2 linked regions of the Drosophila melanogaster genome follow. The protein of the gene in region 2 purifies or fractionates together with the protein of the main gene of each other region. This does not show direct contact. Each region holds a gene or a part of one and is shown on either strand. Other genes may lie near its edges.

What was found.
Region 1: the proteins of qkr58E-1 (region 2) and Ythdc1 purify together in Drosophila melanogaster (affinity purification with western blotting, with the first as the bait; one study listed by BioGRID). This does not show direct contact.

Annotation. Positions count from the first base shown.
Region 1 is NT_037436.4:3,369,653-3,376,109, forward strand, and holds Ythdc1 (YTH domain containing 1), read right to left. Parts: upstream 4,519-6,457; 5' UTR 4,383-4,518; coding exon 4,367-4,382; intron 4,218-4,366; coding exon 3,318-4,217; intron 3,199-3,317; coding exon 1,949-3,198; 3' UTR 799-1,948; downstream 1-798. Other genes in the region: Drs (drosomycin), read left to right, coding at 1-179; CG12010 (uncharacterized protein), read left to right, coding at 4,669-5,524, 5,582-6,382, 6,439-6,457. UniProt on the Drosophila melanogaster protein: Regulator of alternative splicing that specifically recognizes and binds N6-methyladenosine (m6A)-containing RNAs. Acts by acting as a reader of m6A methylation.
Region 2 is NT_033778.4:22,412,190-22,417,344, forward strand, and holds qkr58E-1 (quaking related 58E-1), read right to left. Parts: upstream 3,330-5,155; 5' UTR 3,207-3,329; coding exon 2,951-3,206; intron 2,886-2,950; coding exon 2,381-2,885; intron 2,321-2,380; coding exon 2,219-2,320; intron 2,094-2,218; coding exon 1,912-2,093; coding exon of another isoform or gene 1,883-1,911; exon of another isoform or gene 1,152-1,882; coding exon 1,006-1,151; 3' UTR 728-1,005; downstream 1-727. Other genes in the region: PolE4 (DNA polymerase epsilon subunit 4), read left to right, coding at 1-186; qkr58E-2 (quaking related 58E-2), read left to right, coding at 3,877-4,177, 4,239-4,842, 4,907-5,007, 5,063-5,155.

The sequences.
Region 1 (6,457 bases), on a different chromosome or scaffold from region 2:
CTGTCCTGATGCTGGTGGTCCTGGGAGCCAACGAGGCCGATGCCGACTGCCTGTCCGGAAGATACAAGGGTCCCTGTGCCGTCTGGGACAACGAGACCTGTCGTCGTGTGTGCAAGGAGGAGGGACGCTCCAGTGGCCACTGCAGCCCCAGTCTGAAGTGCTGGTGCGAAGGATGCTAAATCCATGAGCAATTAGCATGAACGTTCTGAAAAGCGCGTTTAGCTCTCCACTACTTACACATATTCTATGCTGCAATATTGAAAATCTAATAAACAAAACTAATGTACATTAATTCTTCAGTTTTGAATATCCTTCTCCTGACTTTCTTATTTAGAATTAATATAATACTGCATACATTAATACTGTAAATATGATAAGTACCTGCAAAACACTGCAGCTCAAGTCTTAATGAGGTTCTGCGATAGCTTAGCATAATTAGTAACTTATCGCGCAGGAATTCCCTAATGTTCCCGACCTACATGTACTTCTGATAGTTGCCGAGGTCAAATGTTGTTGTATTTGTATTATACCTCAATATTGGTATATTCAATATCTAATAGTACCCAATTCAATTGCAAAGATAGTCATTAAAAAAACCTAAATCACTTGCAAATTGACTTTTCTGCCGGAAAAGCAACCTTGACACACAAAGTTAATTAGTTTATCTGGAAGTCATGTGAGAAATTTGTAAATAAATAAATAGAAAATTTTTCGCAGTAATTTAAGTGGGCCTAATCCCTTTTAAGCATCTTGGTTTTACGATGACACCGCAATAAGGTACAACTTTATATTGTTTTTGCAATCAGCTTGAGTCTTTATTAGGCATCAGTCTTTCTCTCTAAGTTTCTTCGTGCAATAAATGAGGTTCCAAACTCCGTAGATTTTTCCTTCTTTGTTGAATCCAGATCCTGCAAAGAAAAAAGAGCAAACCCCTAGGTCTGTCCAGGAATGTATTTTCGTGTTTGTCGACGGTCTGAGCTTTGGTGAAGCGTGAAAATGTGGCAGTCACTGAGTGGAATCGATGGGGGGATTGACGCGTGCCCAACTGGTGGGCCAAACACTTCGGATTGCTACGGTTCGTATTGCTATTGAGCCAAAGGGACCCGGAGCGCATCACTCCGGTCCAAAATGTAGGCGGATGTGTGTCTGTTTCGGGGAAAGATGGTCTTCTGTCGGCAAGACATATACATAGGTGTTAAATATGATTGCATTAGTTTTATACTACGTATAAGGAAGCTTTGATTGGATCGAAGCGACTGAAGGCGACCCTCGTCCTTGAAATTCGGTAGCAGTGATTATAACTCATAGCCCCCATTTGGAGCTAGGCTCCGCTCAGGTCTTTGAAAGTCTTGGGGGGCACAGTGCCCCTTTGATTTTCGGTTTGCTTTTGCTAAGTCCAACTCTCGTTTTTGGAACTTTTGGGGTGGTGGATGGAGAAGGGGGCTTTGTGGGGTTTGGCACACACGATACACACATCACTGATTGATCACTGCTCATGTTAACTTAAGTTCGTTCATGGTGTTGTTGTTGGTTGTGGTTGTTGTTGTTGGGCGTCTCTTTAAAGTCTCTTTCTCTCGCTTTCTCTCGCTACTTTTCGCTTTGGGAGGTAAATAAAGTTCACATTTTCTCTCTTTCATTTTGTATTTTTGTGGTTTAAAATATTTAATTAGCATTAAGATCTCTGCTGTATTGAAATTTGCTTAAGTCGTAAGTTTGTTTTTAATCTTAGTGTGGGTGGTGGGGGTGTTTGGTGAGCGGGACAGAGAGAAAGGGGAAAGAGAGTTGTATCGACTTTAGACGATAGCCGGTTTTATCATATTAACTTTTTGCTTATACCGTAACGCATTCAATATTTCTCTTTAGATTTTCACACGCGAGAGGATTAGGATTACACTTTCCGATTCTAGCGAGGCCAGGAGCACGATCTCGTTTTAAACCTCGATGCGGCCTAGCGCCTGTTGTCCCGATAGCTTCGCTGGCCGCCGCCGCCGCCACGCTCGCGAAACGGTCGCGAATCCCGCGAAGATCCGCCGCCACCGCTGCGATTTCCGTACTCCCGTCGACGACCGCCCGCGGAGCCGTTGTTGCCGTCCCGATTCCGATAGCCGCCGGGTCCACCCATACCGCCACCGGATCCTCCACCGGCTCCCATGCCACCGCCCGCAGCCGCCGCCTGGGCAGCAGCTAACCCGCCAGCTCCATTGCTACCGCCATTGGCTGCTCCGCCGTAGACGGGGAAGCCAGGCGGTGGCACTGTGGGTAGGCCAGCATTCTTCCAGGCAGCAAACTCCTCGTAGCTCGGCGCCTTGTCGAAGCCCGGTGGTGGTGGTCGCTGGGGAGGCGGATAATCCGGTAGAGGCGGGGCACCGGGTCCATCGTAGTACCGCACCGGTGGCGGCAGCTGCTCGTACATGGCAGCTGCTGCTCCCGGTGGAAGGGCACCTGCTGCTCCCGCTCCAGCTCCTGGAATCGGCAGCTGGGCGAACGGAGGAACGAAGGGCAACGGCGGAAGTTGGCCGTGCATGTTGCGCATGTAGTCCGCCACGTATGCTTCAGCAGCTGCCGCCGAGGACATGTAGCGTTCCCATGACGGCATGGCCATGTCGCCCGGTCCGCCGGGTGGCGCTCCTGCTGCACCTCCCATCTGGCGGTACGGGGAACCGCTTCTTTTAAAGCCACCGCCCGGCGGAAGGCCCATGCCATGATGGTGACGGTACGGCCGATGGTGTGGTGCTCCGTGGTAGCTCCTCTTGTGCCGCATCGGGCCCAGGTGGTCGTGATTTGATCCTCTGCCTCCGCCACGACCTCCCCCTCCATGGCCACGCGAGGATAGACTCCTGGGCGGCTTGTAGATCACGTGTATACCTTTTTCTCGCATAACTCGAGCCGTCTCCTTGGATTTCTTGAGTATGGGAGTGAGTTCGATTTGTTCATCCTCGGGAAAGAGACGACACAGCTCGCCGCCAATCTTGGGCTCAATCTCCTGGCCATCGCGACCGATCTTCACCGGCTTGCCCTCGTTCCAGGTGTTGTGCAGGTGCAGGGTGGCGTTGAAAGACAATTCCTTGCGGCAGATCCAGTCAAGCTCGATGACGCCGCCCAGTGCCTTGGGCGAAATACTAGGCGGCAATACCCAGGCCACCTGAGGAATGTCCCGCCGTGAGGGGGCTGCCATCCGGGCGAATCCTGCAAATTTACCTAAAAGCAAAATCGGATTATAATAGAGGTTTTGAAGACATAGACATTGTATGTATCTTATTCTTAAGAAACTAAGAAAGTATAAGAAATGAGAAACATTGTTTACTCCTTGAACCTACCACTCTCGTTGACCGAGAAAATGAGCAGGACGTTTCTGGCCTCCTTGAAAGCCTGGTTAAGATTGGCGTCGTTCTGCGGCAGCGTGGCCCACACACTCTTGTTCTTAGACAGCTGGACGTTGTCGCTATTGTTCGACTTGATGAGGAAGAACCGTGTGTCTCGGAATAGGTAGTTCAGCTTGGTCATGTAGTCGTAGCCCTTCTGCGAATGTGAGTGCGTACCGCCACCGACAGAATCTTTTTCCGGCGTGGAGCTCTTGGAACTGGGTTTGCCCCGGCCGTTGCCGCCACCATTTCCTCCGTTTCTCTTGTGCTGAGTGCCCGAATCCGAGTCAGAGGACTCGCTGTCGGACTCCAAAGTTGGAAGGCTTGGTTTCTCGTCCTCAGCCTCGCTGAGATCGCTCTTGTGGCCAGCAGAATCGTTGGCATTGGAGGGTATCTTGGTGCGCGACTTCTTGGCGGACGGCTGTCGATCCTCGGTATCCGGGGATTTGGATTTGACCTTATCCGACGCCTCAGATGAGGTTGTTTTCTTCGTCCCGCTATCCGTGCGCTTCTTTTTCTTCCCACCATTTAGCTCCTCGGGAGTGGGTTCCCGTTTGGCTTTGTTCTTGGCGGAAGATTTGGAGGATTTGGTCTCGACAGCGGGTTGAGGGCTTTGCTTGGCAGGCTTCTTGGTTTTCCGCTTGCTACTGCCCGCCAGGGAAGATGTGGCAGTGCTGACGGAGCTGATGCTCGGCTCCGAGTCGGATGAGTCTCCACCATTCGATTCGGAAGCCTCACTCCTTGTGTTGAACTCAAAGTCTTGCAGCTCCTCGGCAATGTCCGCCTCGTTCTCGTCGAGGCCCAGGTGCACTGCATCCAAGTCCGCCATCTCGCGCATCGGCAGCGTTTGTTTACCTGCTCCGAAATCGGAAATCGGAGTACCAGATGAATGGAGCACCCACGCACACGCACACACGCAAACCAAGAAAAATATATAGAGAAAAAAGCCGATCGATCGGCAAGGTAAGAAAAGGTCAGGGAAATACAGGTATTCCCAAACTCACGGGCTGCTCTTGGCATTAATTGTGTGGACACCGGTCTAGCGCCACTTTTTGTTCACTTTTAACGCAATATATCCCTTTAATATCGCGAAATTACGCCAATTTTACAATGCTTACACACAAATTCTGCGTCACAGCGGCGACGAATTGGCGATGGCGTCAGAAGAGTGCGGCTATATGTCTGCAGGCCGCGACTATCGGACCACTATCGATAGGCGGATGCAGCTGAAAAAGGTAGCTAGAAATAGCTGAAAATGCACTGCAATCGGTTATGTTATCGTTCCTAACGAAGCGAGGTAAACAAAATGCACCACAATCAGTCGGATTTCCCGACTTTTCCGCTTTCCTTGCTGGACGACAGCGATCTAGAGCCACAGAGATGTTATATACCCGCGTGGGAGAACTCTACTGGAACTGGATGGTACCGTTGTCACCTTTGCGATGGCAGCTACGCAGTTTGTTGGGTAACTCCGCGTGCAGGCAGTGAAACTTGTTGCTTCCTTGATGGAATTGTAACCTCCTTGACGCGGTTCTCCCCCACCAATCAGCGGTTGGTGCTTCTGGAGCCACTTAAATTAGTTCCCTGCGTGAAGAGGATTTCATGCGTGATTACAGTCACCCAGGAGCTCCTTCAGCGACCTCCGGTTTCCCTGGAGGATCTGAAGGACGATGTGCGAATCTTCCTGCGCCACCTGAAGCTTACCAAAGGATGCTCCGTGCAGCACAGACGCCTTGTGCAGCTGGGCATTGCCAGTGTGGAGATATTCGATGCTCCAGGAGTTGCTGATGACGAGTGTTTTGAAATAGCCCACGATGCTGAGCTACTCCTGGCGGACATACGCCTGGGAATGCCCTTTTCTTTAGATTTTATCTTCAAGTATTTGCCACACAGCTTCGAGCGACCCATGGAGCAGTTGGAGAAGCTCCTGGAAACCTCTAAAATCAGCTTTTCGCATAGATTTCCTACTACAGCATTGGTTGTGGGTCCGGTGGACTGTGGAAAAAGTGGTCTACTCAGTGAGTTCCTGCGTCGTCATAGCTGCAACTGTTTTTACATTACAGCCAGCCAGGTGCTGCGCTCATATCCCGGCGAAACCGAAGAGGAGTTGAGGAGGATCTTTCAGGCTGCTCAGACTTTCAAGGAGAAACTACGTCCATTATGTAATTTTCACAGTGTTTGTTTTACGTTTGAAATATTAATTAGTTTTATATTTATAGTGCCAATTGTAATCCTCATTGAGGATCTGGAGCTGCTCTGCCCCTCAACGGCTGTCGCAGATGCAAAAAACTCTAGCAATAGCCTACGAATTTCAGCTGAGCTCTACAAACTGCTAGACGCACTTCCTCGAGGCATCATATGTCTGGCAACTTCTGGTGTCCCGGACTCCTTGCATGAACATGCGCGCAGGCGGTTCGTCCGAGAGGTGACCATTAATATGCCCAGCGAAGGGCAGCGCAGACAACTCGTAGAGCATCTCTGCGAAGTACACGAGCTGAATATCTCACAGACTTTACTCGAGCATATAGCGAGAAACACTCAGGGATATGTGATAGCGGATTTAACACTACTCCTGCGCCGCGTTCAACAGCAACTCTTAACAAAAGACGACTTCGACATAGAGCACATTTTCCTCAAATCCCTGTCACAAACTCAACCGAGTGCATCTCGATCCACAGATGTGCGGGTCTCGAAGATGACGGCTGGGTTTGAGGTTATCGGAGGCATGGAAGCACTGAAACGTACCTTGCAAGTCTCCGTTCTAGCGGGTATAAGACAAAGTGCCGCTTTTGCTCGATTCGGACTAAGTTTGCCCAAAGGAGTGCTGCTCTATGGACCTCCAGGATGTGCCAAGACCACCGTAGCCAAGTGCCTGGCCAAGGAAGCTGACATGACCTTCATTGCTACGTCGGCGGCGGAGGTGTACTCTCCCTACGTCGGTTGCGCGGAAAGATTTATATCGCGAATCTTTGACACAGCGCGAAAAAATGCACCCTGTCTTATATTTCTAGATGAGATAGGTGAGTCGGATAAGCTTAATTTGCCATAAAAATGATTAATCCACTTAATTTTATAGATTCGCTTGTTGGCAGAAG
Region 2 (5,155 bases):
ATGGCCAACAATGAGGCCGTGTTCATAGTGGCGAAGGCAGTGGAACTATTCATAGCCTCGTTGTCACGGGAATCATATACCTACACGGCGCAGTCCAAAAAGAAAACCATACAAAAGAGGGACGTGGATATGGCCATTTCTGCTGTGGACAGTTTGCTATTCCTTGATGGAGCCATGAACTTTTGAACACCCCCACAAATGAAACTGGATTTGTCGATTATACTTTTATACTTTATTTAGGGATATTCAGCGGCAAACAAATTCAGTTCTAAACGTCCTTATGGTTTTATGTTAAAAATAATATTTAAGTTATAAAACAATTGTTGATTCGCAAAGAAAAAAAAACAAAAAAGAAATCATAATTATAAACGACAACGTTTAACGTTTCACAATACTCTTTGCTATTCGGAATTTGTAACGAAGCCGGCATTTGGTTAATTTATTTAACTGCTGAATAGTGTGGTTTGTTGTTTGTTAATCATACTCTGTCCGCAGGCGATACTTACTTTGTCGTTGGGCACATACATTTGTAGTTTATATTTTGCTTTTTATGTTGGTTTTATCTCCATTATCTTATGAAACAATATTTTCAAGCTTAGTCTAAAATTATGCTTTGATAAATTAATTGTTTTGGGGGGGTTTTCGCTTGTGTTTAGTTCTCTTCTCGTATTGGCTTTAACTAGTATTAGGTTGATTGAAGTATGTCTTTTGTTTTTACAATCTTTTTGAGGATAAAATTTGTTGCATTATTGGTTTCTTGTTTTAATTTTAAACACAATTTGAATATCGGACAACAGTTGCAATAAAAATTTACGTTTTTTATTTGATTTTCGTTTATATATTATATTTAATAGGTGTGAATAGTTGGATTGTTGACTTCAAACATTTTGATATTTCGTTGGAATATATTTTAATCTTTACGCTTAACATTGTTTAGTTGTGGTTGTTGTTGTTGTTGTAGTTGTTGTTGAGGTTGGTTTCTTGGGGTTTTGGAAAATCGATGGGTTAACGTATTTTCGGATATGGAGCCGAGCGATATCGCACGCTTTCACGAGATCGGGATCCAGTTTCGTAGTGAGCAGATGAATGTGATCCCGAGCCCGAGGTGGTTGGTCGATATGACGATGATGAACGACCGTTGCTTGGTTTTGCTATTTTGAAAAGAATTTTATTTGTTGTTTAGACTTTAAATTGTTTCTTGTTCTGTCTCTGTGGTGCTGTTTTTTGGTTTTTGGTTTTTCTTTTGCTTAGCATATATACATTGTAAAAAAAAGAAAAATATATTGTTTAACCGGTTTTGAATGCACTACACCCTACGAAACGTTATTGTTTTGAGTAAAATGCATTTCGTTTCATCACGTTTCAAAAAAAGTTGTTCCACAAACCTTTCAGCTTGGATTTTATAGTTTAAGCATGTTCAAATATTTTTGGGTTTCTTGCCATGAAGTTTTATGGTTTTGTTTTCAAAGTGTGAATTTCAGTAATTTGATTGTTTGATCGATTGTTTTAATATTTTGGCTCTGGCTTCTTGTGAGTATGTTAGTAGTCGTCCAATTAATGAAGATGATTTACTGGTTGCTGTTCGGTTTAGTTGATTTGGCCTCTGTTCAGGCATAGTGCATTTAAAATCTTGTTAAAATGGGATGGGTTGCCGTTTTAATAATTTTGGTACGCGGCCTTGTTTCTTTTTCTTTTTTGGTTTCTGTTTTTTTCTGCGTTTTCAATTTATCGGCGCTTAGTTGGATAGATTTTGTTTTGTTTTCGAGTTTTTTTTTTGTTTTGATTTGCGCGAGTTAAGTTTAAACGTTTACATTGCTATTTGTCGTATTCTTTTTCTTTTCTTCATTTTGTTTATTTTTACATGCCTGCTGAGGGGAAGAGATTATTGGTCTAGAAATCTAGGTATCTTACCTGGATAGGCCGCCGCGTAGGAAGAGGAGGACGAGTGGGGGTGATACTCACGCCGATAGTCGCGCTCGTAGGAGCTACTGTCATACTGGGCGTGGTGGGTCGAGTGCTTTGATGTTTGGGGCGGCGGTGTGGCATAGCGATCATATTCTCCATGGTGGTCATATAGCTCGTGGTCCCGTGATCTGTTGAAAAAGTAAGGGATTAAAGGAGGGTTTTCTAACAATGGTTGATAACACAGATGCACGCTATTGAAAGCATAAGAATTTAACTTCTAAAGGCATCATTAACGCGATTGAACTTAGCTAACCTGTGCGTCTTTACGATCCCATAGTTGGGATCGTCCATCACATATCGAGCCTTCTCCAGAATCGAATAGACTTTGGGCTTTGAAGAAGCAGGGGGCGGGGTGCTGTGACGAAAGGAATTCCTTAGTAACCAATTAAAATTCAACGAAAATTGACAAGCCTACCGGGAACTGTAGGCGCCATGATCGCCATAGGATTTGGAATAGTGGTGAGACTTCTTGTACATGCGCTCCTTGCCATCCATCTCGCGTAGTTGCTCCAACCGAATGTCGTCGTTGGCGTCGGGTATCATAAACTTGCGGATCTCGCCTAGCGCATAGCTGATCCTGTGATAGGCCTCCGCTGGAGGGGCCACCGTGGATATCTCCACGTGCAAATCGCGGCTGAGATGGGCGTACTTTGGATTTCCGGAGCTGCGAAGCTCCTCCTCCTTACCGTGGTCGCGCATCGAGTTGCGCCCCATAACCACCATTTTGCACATAGTCTCTTCCTGCAGCTGCCGCAGTGTGTTGCCCTTGGGCCCCAGGATCTTGCCAACGAAATTGAACTTGGGGTACTCCTTGATGGGGAACAAGACTTTCTGGGCCACGCGGATGGGCTTTTCGCTGTACACGTTGGCATATATCTCGGGCTTTGGTATGCGTCCGCTGACCAAGATCTTCTCCACCTCTGCGGGGCCATGAAAAATTGCAATTAGATCCACTATAGCTTACATGTCGCAGCGCCTAACTCACCGTCGTCAAGTAAGCGCTTGGTGATGATGTGCTTCTTCTCGAGCGTCTTCTTTTCCAGCAGGCACTCCTGCAGATACGCGTTGGTCTTCTCATTCAGCTGGGGCGTGTCCCGCAGGGCGGCGTGGCTGGTGGTGTGTCCGCCGCCATCCGCCTCAGGGGTCTCTGGAGCACCGGTAGCCGCTGGCTCCTCGTCGCGTCGCTTCCGCTTGTAGTCGGCGGCGTCCTCGTTGTAGTCTCTGTCGTAGTCGCGCGGCATTGCGTTTTGTAGGATTTCTGGCCTGGAGGATTCGTGAATTTTAAAACTCCTACTCTTGAATACAAAATTCTACTATTGCAGAATTAGTTGGCTGAAAAAATATGTATGTGGTAGGACATCGATAGGTAAATCGGCATCACCGATTCGATAGCGTATTATCGGTTACTGCCGATAACAACCCGCCATCATGTGCATTAGTAGTTTATGACTTATCAATTTTATTAAAAACTTTCCCATAACAAAGAGAGCATTTAAATTATATTTGTAATTTAAAAATCACTAAGTGCATATTATAAATTATTGCCATGCACCTGACGACGCATCTATGTTAATATATAGCGTTAGATAGTGTCTGCAAGCCGATAACAACTATGCGCCCTTAACAGCACCGTCGATTGGCAGCGAACAGCACGCTGCAGAAGCACGAGAGACAGCCCGAGAGACCGGAGTTGCCGGACCGAGCCGCTGACATAGTAAATGTCCGAATAAAATACACACTTGGAAAAAGAGAGAAAAATTAGGGCCATTGGGAAGGCTGAAGTGTGCTAAGTTAGCAATCATACCGAATCGACAGCAAAAGCGATCGCCCGCAATCTGCGCACGGAAAATCCGAGACTCGGCGACTTAGCAGGACGATAGAGCGACAGCGATCCCGAAGGCAGGACGACAAATGGCGGAGAACGGACTGCGCGTGCCAGGGTCATCCGCGGTGGCCTCTGCGGTGGCTTCCACTGCGACGGGAGTCGGCGGTGGATCAGCAGCGGGAACTGCGGGGGCCGGGACAGGAGTGGTGCCCACCGGCGTCAGCGGCGGGACGAGCAACGGGGAGCATGAGAACGAACACAACGCCAACGCAGACGGCGAGAAGGCCCAGCCGGCGCCGGCGGTCCAGAAGTACATGCAGGAGCTCATGACGGAGCGATCGCGCATGGAAAACCACTTCCCCCTGGCGGTGAAGCTAATTGACGAAGGTAAATTGATTTGTCAGGGGCACTTCATGGTAATTACTTTGATTTCCCTCTGTTTTTGCAGCTCTGGAGCGTGTGCAGCTAAACGGACGCATTCCCACGAGAGACCAGTACGCCGATGTCTACCAGCAGCGCACCATCAAGCTGTCCCAAAAAGTGCACGTGCCCATCAAGGACAAGAAGTTCAACTATGTGGGCAAGCTACTGGGGCCCAAGGGCAACTCACTGCGTCGCCTGCAGGAGGAGACGCAGTGCAAGATCGTCATACTTGGTCGCTTCTCAATGAAGGATCGCGCACGTGAGGAGGAGCTGCGCAACTCCGCGGACGCGAAGTACGCCCACCTGAATCTTCCTCTGCACGTCGAGGTGTCCACCATTGCTCCGCCCGCCGAGGCGTACGCTCGGGTGGCGTATGCCCTGGCCGAGATTCGGCGGTACCTCACGCCGGACAAGCACGATGACATCCGCCAAGAGCAGTACCGCGAACTCATGGAGGATCCGGAGGCGGCCAAGAAGCTGACGCTTCGCCAGCTGCAACAGCAGTCGAATGCGGCAGCTAGTGGTGCAGGAGGAGGAGGCGGTGGTGGAGGCGGAAACGGAAATGGCGGCGCAGCTGGATCCGGCAGCAATAATGGCAATGGGAACCAGCGCTCCGGCGGCAACTACAGGTGGGTTGCAGTTCAATGTCCTCTACGAGCCTCGAGTCTAGCTAAACTCCCATGTTTCTTACAGACAAAAGTTTCAGCAACAATCACACTATCGCCACAACGAGGAGACTGTCTATTTTCGCTCACACAACAATGCGTACCACCAGCCAAAACCCTATGTGCCAGGTAAGTCTGGGCTCTCCTGGTCCATAGACCATAGATTCTATGTTCGCTTTTGCAGCCGCCCAACGGGGCAATGCCATGCACACCACCTTGCCACCGCAAGCAATTGTGCGAGCCTCACCGCCCGGAATGGTCGTCAGTGCGGCCAGCT